3 linked regions of the Mus musculus genome follow. The protein of the gene in region 2 interacts with the protein of the main gene of each other region in a pairwise test. Links are inferred from orthologs where the notes say so. Each region holds a gene or a part of one and is shown on either strand. Other genes may lie near its edges.

The links. The genes of interacting proteins can lie anywhere in the genome.
Region 1: the proteins of Kifc3 (region 2) and Trim54 interact in binary tests that used the Homo sapiens proteins (3 or more experiments, as listed by UniProt). The two-hybrid records come from large-scale screens. The link is inferred for Mus musculus from reciprocal best matches to the Homo sapiens genes KIFC3 and TRIM54.
Region 3: the proteins of Kifc3 (region 2) and Leng1 interact in binary tests that used the Homo sapiens proteins (3 or more experiments, as listed by UniProt). The two-hybrid records come from large-scale screens. The link is inferred for Mus musculus from reciprocal best matches to the Homo sapiens genes KIFC3 and LENG1.

What each region holds. Positions count from the first base shown.
Region 1 is NC_000071.6:31,115,257-31,119,411, reverse strand, and holds the start of Trim54 (tripartite motif-containing protein 54), read right to left. Parts: upstream 2,801-4,155; 5' UTR 2,503-2,800; coding exon 2,335-2,502; intron 1-2,334. UniProt on the Homo sapiens protein: May bind and stabilize microtubules during myotubes formation.
Region 2 is NC_000074.6:95,101,943-95,104,557, reverse strand, and holds part of Kifc3 (kinesin-like protein KIFC3), read left to right. Parts: intron 1-532; coding exon 533-663; intron 664-1,023; coding exon 1,024-1,147; intron 1,148-1,765; coding exon 1,766-1,895; intron 1,896-1,981; coding exon 1,982-2,211; intron 2,212-2,411; coding exon 2,412-2,546; intron 2,547-2,615. UniProt on the Homo sapiens protein: Minus-end microtubule-dependent motor protein. Involved in apically targeted transport. Required for zonula adherens maintenance.
Region 3 is NC_000073.6:3,663,041-3,667,271, forward strand, and holds the start of Leng1 (leukocyte receptor cluster member 1 homolog), read right to left. Parts: upstream 2,801-4,231; 5' UTR 2,408-2,800; coding exon 2,276-2,407; intron 822-2,275; coding exon 642-821; intron 1-641. Other genes in the region: Tmc4 (transmembrane channel-like protein 4), read right to left, coding at 2,900-2,968, 3,062-3,140, 3,779-3,934, 4,008-4,138.

The DNA of each region.
Region 1 (4,155 bases), on a different chromosome or scaffold from region 2:
CAGGCTAGCCTCCAGCTTGTGATGTCCCTTCCTCGCTGGGATCCCAGGCATGTGCCATAGAGCCTGTCTCCTGGCAGGAAGCATATTCCTGATTTTCCTATCACAGATTGCAACACCAAGAGAGCCAAGTTATATCTGCGAGGTCCCGTGTCTGTGCATGTGAGTTCTATTCCTTCCTTCTCCCCGACCTCTGATCCAGTCACAACCGACTCAGAGCTCCACCAAAGGCACAGAGCTGGAAAGCAAGCCTGTGAACGTATAAAGGACTCTGGTGTGTATGTATTTATTTATTTGGTTGGTTAGTTAGTTAGTTAGTTAGCTGGCTAGGCAGGGTCTCCTGCAGTCCAAGCCAGCCTTAAACTCCCAAGGATTGGGTTTGCAGCCATGTACCACTGAGCCCAGATCTTTTGTTTTTATTTTTGAAATGTGTGGACAAAATAGTCCTGGTGACTTCACCTAGTTGTGCTTGGCCTCATGACCACAGATACCCAGGCATTTCTGGGAAGTACAATTTTGTTTCTGCCTTCTGTCTGTCTGCCTGTCTGTCTGTCTGTCTGTCTGCCTGCCTGCTCTTCCAGAGGTCCTGAGTTCGATTCCCAGCAACCACGTGGTGGCTCACAACTGTCTGAAATGGGATCTGATGCCCTCCTCTGGTATGCATGAAGAGAGTTATGGTGTCTGTAAGTTGCCTGAATATCAGCTACCCTCTAAGTCTTTACCAGGTGAGGAAGGATCACAGTAGTGAAACTGGGGAGACCCCTGCTGCCCTGGCCCAGTGTCTAATCAGACCCTCATGGACAGAGAGGCTCTGCCTCGAATACACACGGTTCTGCTGGCATTGAAGGGTTTCTCATAGATTTACCGACAATTTTTAATTTTAGATTTTTTAATTTACTTTTTGAAACAGTCTTGTTTTGTAGCCCAAGTTGGTCCAGAATTCATTATGTAATCAAGGTTAACTTTAAAAATGACAATTGATTTCCAGAATGGTGGTGACATCTCTAATCCCAGTACTGGGGAGGCAGAGGCAAGAGGATCTCTGTGGGGCTGGAGAGATGGCTCAGCAGTTAAGAGCAATGACTGCTCTTCCAGAGGTCCTGAGTTCGATTCCCAGCAACCACGTGGTGGCTCACAACTGTCTGAAATGGGATCTGATGCCCTCCTCTGGTATGCATGAAGAGAGTTATGGTGTACTCACATATGTTATAAATAAATAATTCTTTAAAAAAAAAGAAAAAGAGGATCTCTGTGGGTTTGAGGTCAGCCTGGTTTGAATGGTGAGCTACAGGACAGCTGGGGTTGCATAGAGAGACCCTGTCTCAGAAACAAAACCAAAAGATGACAATCCTCCTGCTTTAGCCTCCCAACTGCTGGAATTAGTGTAGCTTGACAAAAGACTCACAAAGACCACAGAGACCGCCGCCATCATTGCAAAACGCATGAGGATTTTACTTATCCAACATGTTGGGGAACCCCCTCTCAGCACGCAAGCCGGAAAGAGACCCAGAACAAAGAAAGAACACATTTTTTATACCTTGGTAAAGGCCGGATATAGGCACCAGGGTAGTTTGGCTTATTTTAATTGGTGTAGCCAATAACCTTTTTAGACATTGGTTGGTTTGTATAGGGTGACTCTCATTTTGTCTGTCCTTGAGGTTTTTAGTGTGAGGCGGGACAGGGGGGATTGTTAAACTTGTTCTGGAAGCTTAGTAATTTTGACCGTTAAAACTATATTTCTATATTTGTTTAGTCAGCCAGCTTTTTATCTGCCTCTGTACTTGGCCTGCTAGTACAGTCTGGAAAGTCCTTTTGAAGGGGGAAGGTCTGGGGTAGTCTTGAATTTATATTGAATATTACAGAATTACAGGTATACACTACCATTCCCAGTTATTATTTTAAACTGTGTGTGTGTCTGTCTGTTTGTTTGTCTGTGTTCATATAAGTGGAGGTCAGAGGTCAACTTTCGGGAGTCAGTTCTCTCTTTCCATCATTTATGTTTTCAAGTTGAGGCCTGGTAGCCACACTAGCCAACACATATGCACACACACACATCTCAATATATCGTTGATTTCTTCTCCAGAGTTTTAAAAAAAAAAAAATCAAAGCCTTAAAATGAATGAAATCTAGTCCAAGCTCCTACAAAGCCTATGCAAGACCACTCTCTTCCTTTCCAGTTTCTGCAGGTCCTGGCTGCTATAGACTCAGGTCGGGCTAACCAGCCTCAGGGCAGCTGCTGACTCACGCTGACTCTCCTACCTCTCAGCCCCTCCCTCCCAGCGGAGGGCACCCACCCCATCCCCCTCTGTGACCTAACCCACCCCTCCCTGAGCCCACCTGGAAGACGTCGTTGGCACACTTGCGGCACAGGTTGTGTTGGCAGGGCAAGATCACCACGGGCTTGGAGAACATCTCCAGGCAGATGGGGCAAATGAGCTGCTTCTCCAAGTTGTCCATGTTGTGCGCATCCCCTAGCAGCGGCTTGAAACCCACCGTGAAGTTCATCCCGCGGCGCTCTGGAGCCTGCCTCGCTGTGGCCCTGTCGTTGGCCTTCTCCCCTGCCTGTGCACCCTTCCTCGGTCAGTTTAGGCTGACTGGATTCTTGGGATCCCGGCTATTGCTCCCTCTTGGAAGAGTCCTGTCCCTTCCCCTAACAGCTCCTCTCACCCCTGTCTATTTCCAGACACTCTGTCTACACTCCTTGCTCAGAACCCTCACCAGGCGCTTGTAGCTTTATCTTGCCCTGTGAAATTCTCCTCCTGTCCCCCCAAACCACCCTCTTGGTCACTCTTTGGGCAGCACTGTTTGTCCCTTCCTCCCTAGAGAGATTAACATTACTGTGGGGGTGGGGACACAAGGGGCATCCGTGTGACATTCCAGTTCCCAATTTAGCTCATGTAAGGTGAGCCACAGCTGTCCCCGGACTGAGTGGCCCTGACTCATTCAGGAAGGGGTGGCTAGGAATGGTATGGGGCTCACTTGCTGTCACTGGGAAGGCTCCTGTGAACATTGGTCTCCATGTTCTGGCTTGGGACCTTTTTCCAAACAGAAACAAAGTCTAAACTAGCCTTTGGGAGAGATGGCCCCAAGTGGGGGGGCAAGGTCTGGATAGATCTGTAGATCTGGTGTCATCTCTTCCTCCACAGGCTTAGCCAGTGATCCCGGCCCTCCTAGAGAGTGCATGATTCAGAAATGGAATGCCAGACCAAGAAAGAGAACTTTTCTTCTTCTTCTATTTCTTCTTCTTCTTCTTCTTCTTCTTCTTCTTCTTCTTCTTCTTCTTCTTCTTCTTCTTCTTCTTCTTCTTCTTCTTCTTCTTCTCCTTCTTCTCCTCCTCCTCCTCCTCCTCCTCCTCCTCCTCCTCCTCCTCCTCCTTCTTCTTTTTAAAACAGTATAGCTTTGTAGCTTTTCTCTGTATAGCTTTGGCTGTCCTGGAACTCACTCTGTAGACCAGGCTGGCCTCAAACTCAGAAATCCGCCCGCCTGCCTCTGCCTCCCAAGTGCTGGGATTAAAGGCATGTGCCACCACCACCCGGCCGAGAGAGAACTTTTTGACCCATGTCTGCCCCATATTTGTTCTTGCTCAGCCTTTACAGAGAAACAACCCCACACTAATTTGCTTTGGGGAGTGGTGGGTGCAACCTGGAGGTCACAGGACAGTGGACACCCCCACAAGTCAGTTCCTTTTCTGCAGCATATGGGTCCCAGAAATCAAACTTGAGTCATCAGAATTGATGACAAGTACATTTACCCAATGAACAATCTCACTATACACTTCCCTCTCCCTTATTAAAGACAGGCTCTTGTGTTGTAAGAGTCTGACGAGCCTTAGCTTACTGGGGGACCCTCAGAGCTGGGGATCGATGCAAAAGCAAGAATAATTTATTGTTCCAGCATTCTGAGGTTGTCATTCTCAGAATGACACCTGAAGGAGAGGTGGCAACCCCAGGCGGCCTGTTCCATAAGTTTTTATATGGTTTCCAGGGGTGGAATAGAGCATCAGCAACTAGGCACATTATGATTGGTGGGACAGTGTGCCCTTTAAATTGGCTGGTCTTTAGGGAATGAGGTAGTAAGGGCTTAATTAGCCCCTTCCTTCCAGCCTACGTACTCTCTATCCTGTCTCTTCTAGGAGGAGAGGGATGTGATGGAATTTCT
Region 2 (2,615 bases):
ACAACTTAGGACAGTCAGACCTGCAAGGCCTTGGAGTGTGCCTGGCAGTTAGCACACTTGAAGCACAGGAATGAGATGAGGGGGAGGTACCTTCAAAGCGGAGGGAAAGTGTGTCTAGGGCCCACTCAGGTGGGCTCTAGATTTATTCTGAAAGGTGGCCATGTCATCCAGCCTCAAGGACTTCACCCACAGAGCCTGGCTTCCGGCCACCCAGACAGGGAGCCTCCCAGTGGGCAGTGGGTGGCTCCATGTTTATTTCAACTGCCCCTTCCAGGAGGCCCAGCAGACCATAATAAGCCCTGGTGTTCCCTCCGCAGGGGTAGTGTGTCAGGCTTCACCCCACAGAGCTCCTTTCATGCTTACTAACTTCCTGGCAGGGAAATGCTACCTTCAAGGTGGGGAAACTTGCCTATATTCGGAGGACAGACAGACCAGCAGGAGAGGCTCACCTGTTAGGGGTTCCTGAGGGCATGGGGTGACAGATATTGTGTGAGCATCTGTGGGGCCACTGGGCCTTTACTTTTGCCAACAGGGGACTCCCGAGAACCCGGGCATCAACCAGCGGGCCCTGCAGCTGCTCTTCTCGGAGGTGCAGGAGAAGGCGTCTGACTGGCAGTACAACATCACCGTCAGCGCAGCTGAGATTTACAATGAAGTCCTCAGGTGGGCCTGGGCTGGAGCTCGGAGTGCTGGTAGTGGGGCTTTCTGGTCTCCAAGTCTAAGTTCTAGGTGAGGCTGGGAAGAGGATCTGCCCAGGGTTAGGAGTTAGGTGGTCCTCCCTTATCTGGGACCCCTTTCTGTGTTGTGGGCTGCGCTGAACTGGGTCGGGATGGGGCCCCTACCCAGTCAGGGGCTGTGTGGTCCTTAGGACTTCTGTGGAAGTCTGTTTCCCCTCTGCTGAGTGCAAGTCCTGTGGTCCAGGATTGGTGCAGGGGCAGATTCCAGACTAGGGATTGGGTGCAAGGCAAGCAGAGGCCAGAGTGGGAGGGGAGAAGTCATGTCTCGCTTGGCTTGCCGCTCCAGGGACCTGCTGGGGAAAGAGCCTCAGGAGAAGCTGGAGATCCGACTGTGCCCGGATGGCAGTGGGCAACTGTATGTGCCAGGGCTGACTGAGTTCCAGGTGCAGAGCGTGGATGACATCAACAAGGTAAGGTGTCCTGGGGAAGTGCTGGAGGCCCCGCTCACCAACAGCTGCTCTGGTGGACAGAACTGGGCTCCAGGTCCAAGGTGGGCTTTGCCACCACCTGACAATGCAGCTTAGGGGAGTCCCCAGGCCTCTCCAAGCCTGTCTCCTCATCTGAAAGGAAAGGCAGGTATAGGAGCACACCTGTAAAGCTAAGTCAGGAGAATTGTGAATCGGGAACCAGTCTGACTACCTAGCAAGACCCTCAGAGGCTTTCATGTGGCTGGGTGTACACAGCTTTAATGTCAGCACTTGGACAGAGGCAGGTGGATCTCTGCCAGATCAGTGAGTTCTACATAGTGAGTTCCAGGCCAGACAAGACTACAGAGACCTGATCTCAAAACAAAAAATTAAAAAGATAGCAAGATGTGATGCTGTCCACCCTTTTATCCCAGTATTTGAGAGGCAAAGGCAGGCAGATCTCTGAGCTAGAGGGCAGCTTGGTATACACACTATGACCTTGCCTCTGCCTAAAACCAAACAATAATAACAAAAACCTTGAAGAAACTTGAGTATCCAGGTAAAGCACATAGGGTGGCATTGCCCATCCCAAAGGAGCCCGCTCACTGCCTTTGCCCCCAGGTGTTTGAGTTTGGCTACAACAACCGCACCACCGAGTTCACCAACCTGAACGAACACAGCTCCCGCTCCCACGCTCTGCTCATCGTGACAGTGAGAGGTGTGGATTGCAGCACAGGCCTCCGCACCACGGGTGAGAGATGCACAGTGGCCATTCTGGTCAAGCCCTCCATCAGTATCTTTGGGGCAGCGCTGACCCACCCTCTGCTCTGCCTGCAGGGAAGCTGAACCTGGTGGACCTGGCTGGTTCAGAGCGTGTGGGCAAGTCGGGGGCTGAGGGCAACCGCCTGCGAGAGGCACAGCACATCAACAGGTCACTATCCGCCCTGGGGGACGTCATTGCTGCCCTGCGTTCTCGACAAGGCCATGTGCCCTTCCGCAATTCCAAACTCACCTACCTGCTGCAGGACTCACTCAGTGGTGACAGCAAGACCCTTATGGTGGTACAGGTGAGGGCCTGAGGTTCAGCAAGAGCCTCCCCAGGCTGCTGGCTCCCCCTACCCCCACATAGACCCCTACCAACATCCCCTTTTAGTACACAAGTTCCTCCCCATGTTCACTGCCCACAGTGGGCTCCCCTGACCAGAAACACCCTCTGGTGGCCATGCTGCTACCTCCTGTGCTGTACCATGAGCTCTCTGTCCCCTAGGTGTCCCCAGTGGAGAAGAACACCAGCGAGACTCTGTACTCCCTCAGATTTGCTGAGAGGGTTCGCTCTGTGGAGTTGGGCCCTGGGTCCCGCCGCACAGAGCTGGGTTCCTGGTCAAGCCAGGAGCACCTGGAGGTACTGGGGGATGGATGGGGTGGGGGAGGAGGGGAGAGGCTTCCATGAGTGAGACTCAGGCTGGTACCG
Region 3 (4,231 bases), on a different chromosome or scaffold from region 2:
ACAAAATAGTCTTTTCAGTCCCTCTGGGAGCCCTAGATGTGGCAATAGAAAAACCCAGGGCTCAAATTTCTGGAGACGGGGACTGGTAGACAGTCATTTAACAAGGGAGATCAGAAGACCATTCAGGAAGCACCAGGGGCTTATCTGCAGGAGGAGGAAGAAAGAGAGGCTGCGGCCTGTGCAGTAGTGAAGATGGGAGAAGCTTTGGGAACAGTTTAAGGAAAAACCTGCAGAAAAGCAAAGTGGAGGAGTGATTTTTCAGTGGGAGATAGCACCTTCAAAGTTCGACGAGAGAGAGGAGAGCCACAGTACAAGTCAGTTTGAAAAGCACAAATGCTGTCTGGAGATGAGTGCCTATGATCCCAACACTTGGCTCAGGAGGCCAAGGCAGGGGGATTGAGAATTGGAAAGCACCCCTGGTCTGTGTAGTTGTGACCTCATCTCAAAAATAAAATAGCTTAAGACTTTTTTTAGTCCCATGGGAAAAGGTTAGCCAGTTTAAGTGCTGTACAGCAGTAACCAACTTACAGGTAATATCTCTCAGTCATATTCTAAAAATTTTAGAGTGCTTATCACCATATCCTAACAGTCACAGCCAGTCCCCACCCCCATGATTCCACCAAAAAATGAGGCCAACTTACCTTTTCCCGTCGCTTCTCTTCCTCATGCTCTTTATTGCCTCTGGGAACTCCTTTCCTTTCTTCCAGCAGCTCCCTAAACAGGTCCACAGGGCCAGAACTTGGAGCTCCTGGGTCTGCTGCTTCCAGCTCAGGCACTGAGTTTCGTTGCCTGGCTTTCTTCCGTAGGAATTCCGTACGGGCCTATGAAGGGTTATAGGGAAGACATTCAGAACCCAGAAGTGCTGAGGATACAAGAATGGTCCATGGGCAGGGAGGGCAGTGGTAGCACACACCTTTGAACCTAGCATTCAGGAGACAGAGGCACATGGATCTCTGAATTCAAGGCCAGCATGGTCTACAGAGTGAGTTAGTTCCAGGACTACACAGAAAAATCCTGTCTTGAAAAGAGGGGGTGGGGGTGGGGCAAATATTGAGAGCAAGAAGAGATACCATTTCTAACTTGGAGTGGAGAATCGATGTTTTTAGACAGTAAACTGGGCTATCAGAGATAGTTCAGAGAAGATCCCTGACCTAAAACAGAAGGCTTCCCAGTCTCAAGTGATGCAAGGAAAACCCACTCAGGTATAGGTATAGGTGGCTTGTTCAGCCATAGAGCCCCTGCCTTGTGTGTAGTTCCAAATTCAGTCCCCAACACAAGTATGTATATACTCCCAAACTTGTAAGGTAATCAAATATTGCTTTCTGGACAAAGGATCTAAATCCAAGGTATGGCTCCAGGTCACCACTCCAAGTACAACCTGACCCCAGATAGGGATGGTCTCTGATTCACAATTCTCCCCTTTCTGCAGCCTTAGTATCTGGGATTAATTACAAGCGTCACCTTTTTGTTTGTTTGTTTTGTTTTGTTTTGTTTTTTAAGACAGGGTTTTTCTGTGTAGCCCTGGCTGTCCTGGAACTCACTTTGTAGACCAGGCTGGCCTCAGAAATCCACCTGCCTCTGCCTCCCAGGTGCTGGGATCAAAGGCGTGCGCCACCGCCACTACCCGGCTTTTTTTTTTTTTTTTAAGCCCACACTAATTCATGATCAGATTGGCCAAGGGACTTAAGTGTAAACCAAACTAATCGAGTAACTTAGAGTCTGTGATGTGTGTGTGGTCTTCAATACTAGCGTTCAAGTGGAACAGGCAAGCTGAGTTCAAGACCAGCCTGGTCTACGTAGCCAGTTCCATAACAGCCACGGCTACACAGACCCTGTTCCAAATAAAACCTCCAGATGCTCTTTTCTTGGCAAGCAATGAGGGAGGGAGAAAAGACATGCCCAACGAAGTGGACCCCGGCTTGTCCGCCCTTTGCCCTCCTTGCTGAAGCCGTTGTACTCAGAGCAAGGTGACCGCACCCCTCCAAGTTGTTCTAAGAGGGAATTTCTCAAAGCAAGCGCTCAGAAGGAAGGGAGCATACACAGAGTGGGTGATCAGTAATTAACTTGTGCGGGCAACCTATAAAGTAATCAGAATATTTGTCCAACTCTTCCAGTATGCTAGTCTCTGGTCCCTCAACACCAGTGGGGAAATCTAGGAAGGTTTCTTGGAAGTTAGCACAGGATTTTCAGAGAAACATCGTCGAACACACAGACCCGCTCCCGGCACCGAGTGATAGCTAGGCCCGCCGCGCTTCTGGGCGGTCCCCAGGCTTACCTCTTGCTGGGCGAGCAGCACCCTCCGCTCCCGCTCCTTCTCCTCCTCCCGGGCCTGGGCCTCGTCGCGCCGCACGCGGGCAACATTGTCCTTGTTCCGGACGTGCCAGCTCTTCTTCGGCAAGATATTCATGGCTCCAGTGCCGACCTCGGACTGTCAGGCCCACTCTTCAGCACTTCCGATTGGCTCGAGGATGCTCCCGCCCCATGGTTCCACCCTTGCTCGTGCATTGGTTCTGGGCCAATTGTCACGTCCCATCCTAGCCTTGTTTAGAGATTATTGGCTGAGAGCCTTCCATCTCAGCCAATCCTAAGCATTTGTAACCTGAGTTGCTCCACCCCCGGACGCTGCTTGATGAGGCTGTTGCCTGTCTATTCCTTTAAGCAGACATAACCTAGCTCTTCAGGCCGATTTGGACCTGGCCCCTCCCCAAACCCCGTCCGAGGCTTCAGAACGGGGTTTCAAAACGCAAAGCGGCCTTGACTGTTGTTTATTAATACGGTTCAATTGAGAGTGTAGCATTCGGGTGGCAGAGGGCGGGGAATTTGGTTCCAGAGATGAAAGAGTCCCATCACTTGATATGAAGTCACTGAAGCTGAGGGGCTGAAGGTTCAGCCAGACTTATCAGGAAGTTCCATTCCTTGAGCTCAGAGCCACAGCTCGCTGGGCCAGGAAGACTTTATTCTGCACTTCCTGCGGGCAAAAAGGAGCGAAAGTGAAGCACACCTTTTCATTCTTCTTTCATAGTCTCATAGAGCCCTTTCCGGGGAAATCAGCCTGGCTCACCGTCTCTATCTGGCGTTTGAGCTCAGAGATGAGGCGTCCGTAACAGTTAGCCAGGGCTACGGTATACATCATCAGGATGCTATGGAAGACAGGAATGAAAATCACTCTAGAAAAACAATCATCTTCATCATATGGCTCCTTAGAAACCAGGCTGGAGAGATGGCTCGTAACCGGAGCACTGGCTGCACTTCCAAAGGACCGGGGTTCAATTCCCAGCCCCACATGGCAGCTTACAATTGTAACTCAAGTTCGTTACTTCACACAGACAGTCACACTGTCCAAATACCAACACACATAAAAATTAAATGAATAAGTAAATTAAAGAAACCAATATCAGGATCCTCAAATCCCTTAAAACCCTTTTTGAGACTCTGAACACAAGTCTTTATCCTCTCTCTTTAGACCCAAAAGTTCAGACCCTTTAACCAGAGGTTAAACTAGAGGTTCAGGCTCCATACCTCCTCCCCCTTCATCAAATCGATAAATCCACACCCTAGCCCTCCTTTCCTCAGACCAGGAATCCAAACCCAGATGTCTTTTCTTAGACCCTAAGCATTCACACTCCGACTCTCCTGCTCTTGATTTATAGGCATCCCGGCCAGCCCCACGTCTCTGTTGTATATAGGCACCCAGCCCACCTCTCTAGCACTCAGGTGCCCAGAAACTCCTTTCTCTTTCAAACACTAAATTACACACATTCAAAGTCTGACTGCTCACCTAGAGAGGATCAGAAGAGGTACAGTAAAAGCTTGGGTTCCCAGAAAGTAGAGAAAATTCTGGGCAGTCTGAGGGAGGCTCTCAATGGCCTCAGGGATCTGGGCCCAAATGGACAGCTTCCCGCGGAACGGGCCACACAGTTTCGAAGGTGGGATCCTGTAGGGGGAGACACACTGGATTCAGTCAAGTCGAGCTAGAGTGAGAACAAACAGAAGTCTCTCGTACTTACAGGAAGATACTGTAAAGCACGGGAACTGCAGAGATCGCCAGACCCACAAGGAGAACCAGGGGGAAAAAGAAGTTTGCCGTGGATGCTCGGAAGGTGCGGGAAGCCGGTGAGTAGATGGAGAAGAGGGTTATCTGGTAGGGAGAGGCGAGGAAATGGAGGTGTAAGACTCAAGAGTCAATCCTTTGCTTTTCCCTGTTTCTTATCTTGGAGCTTTGGCCTCCTTT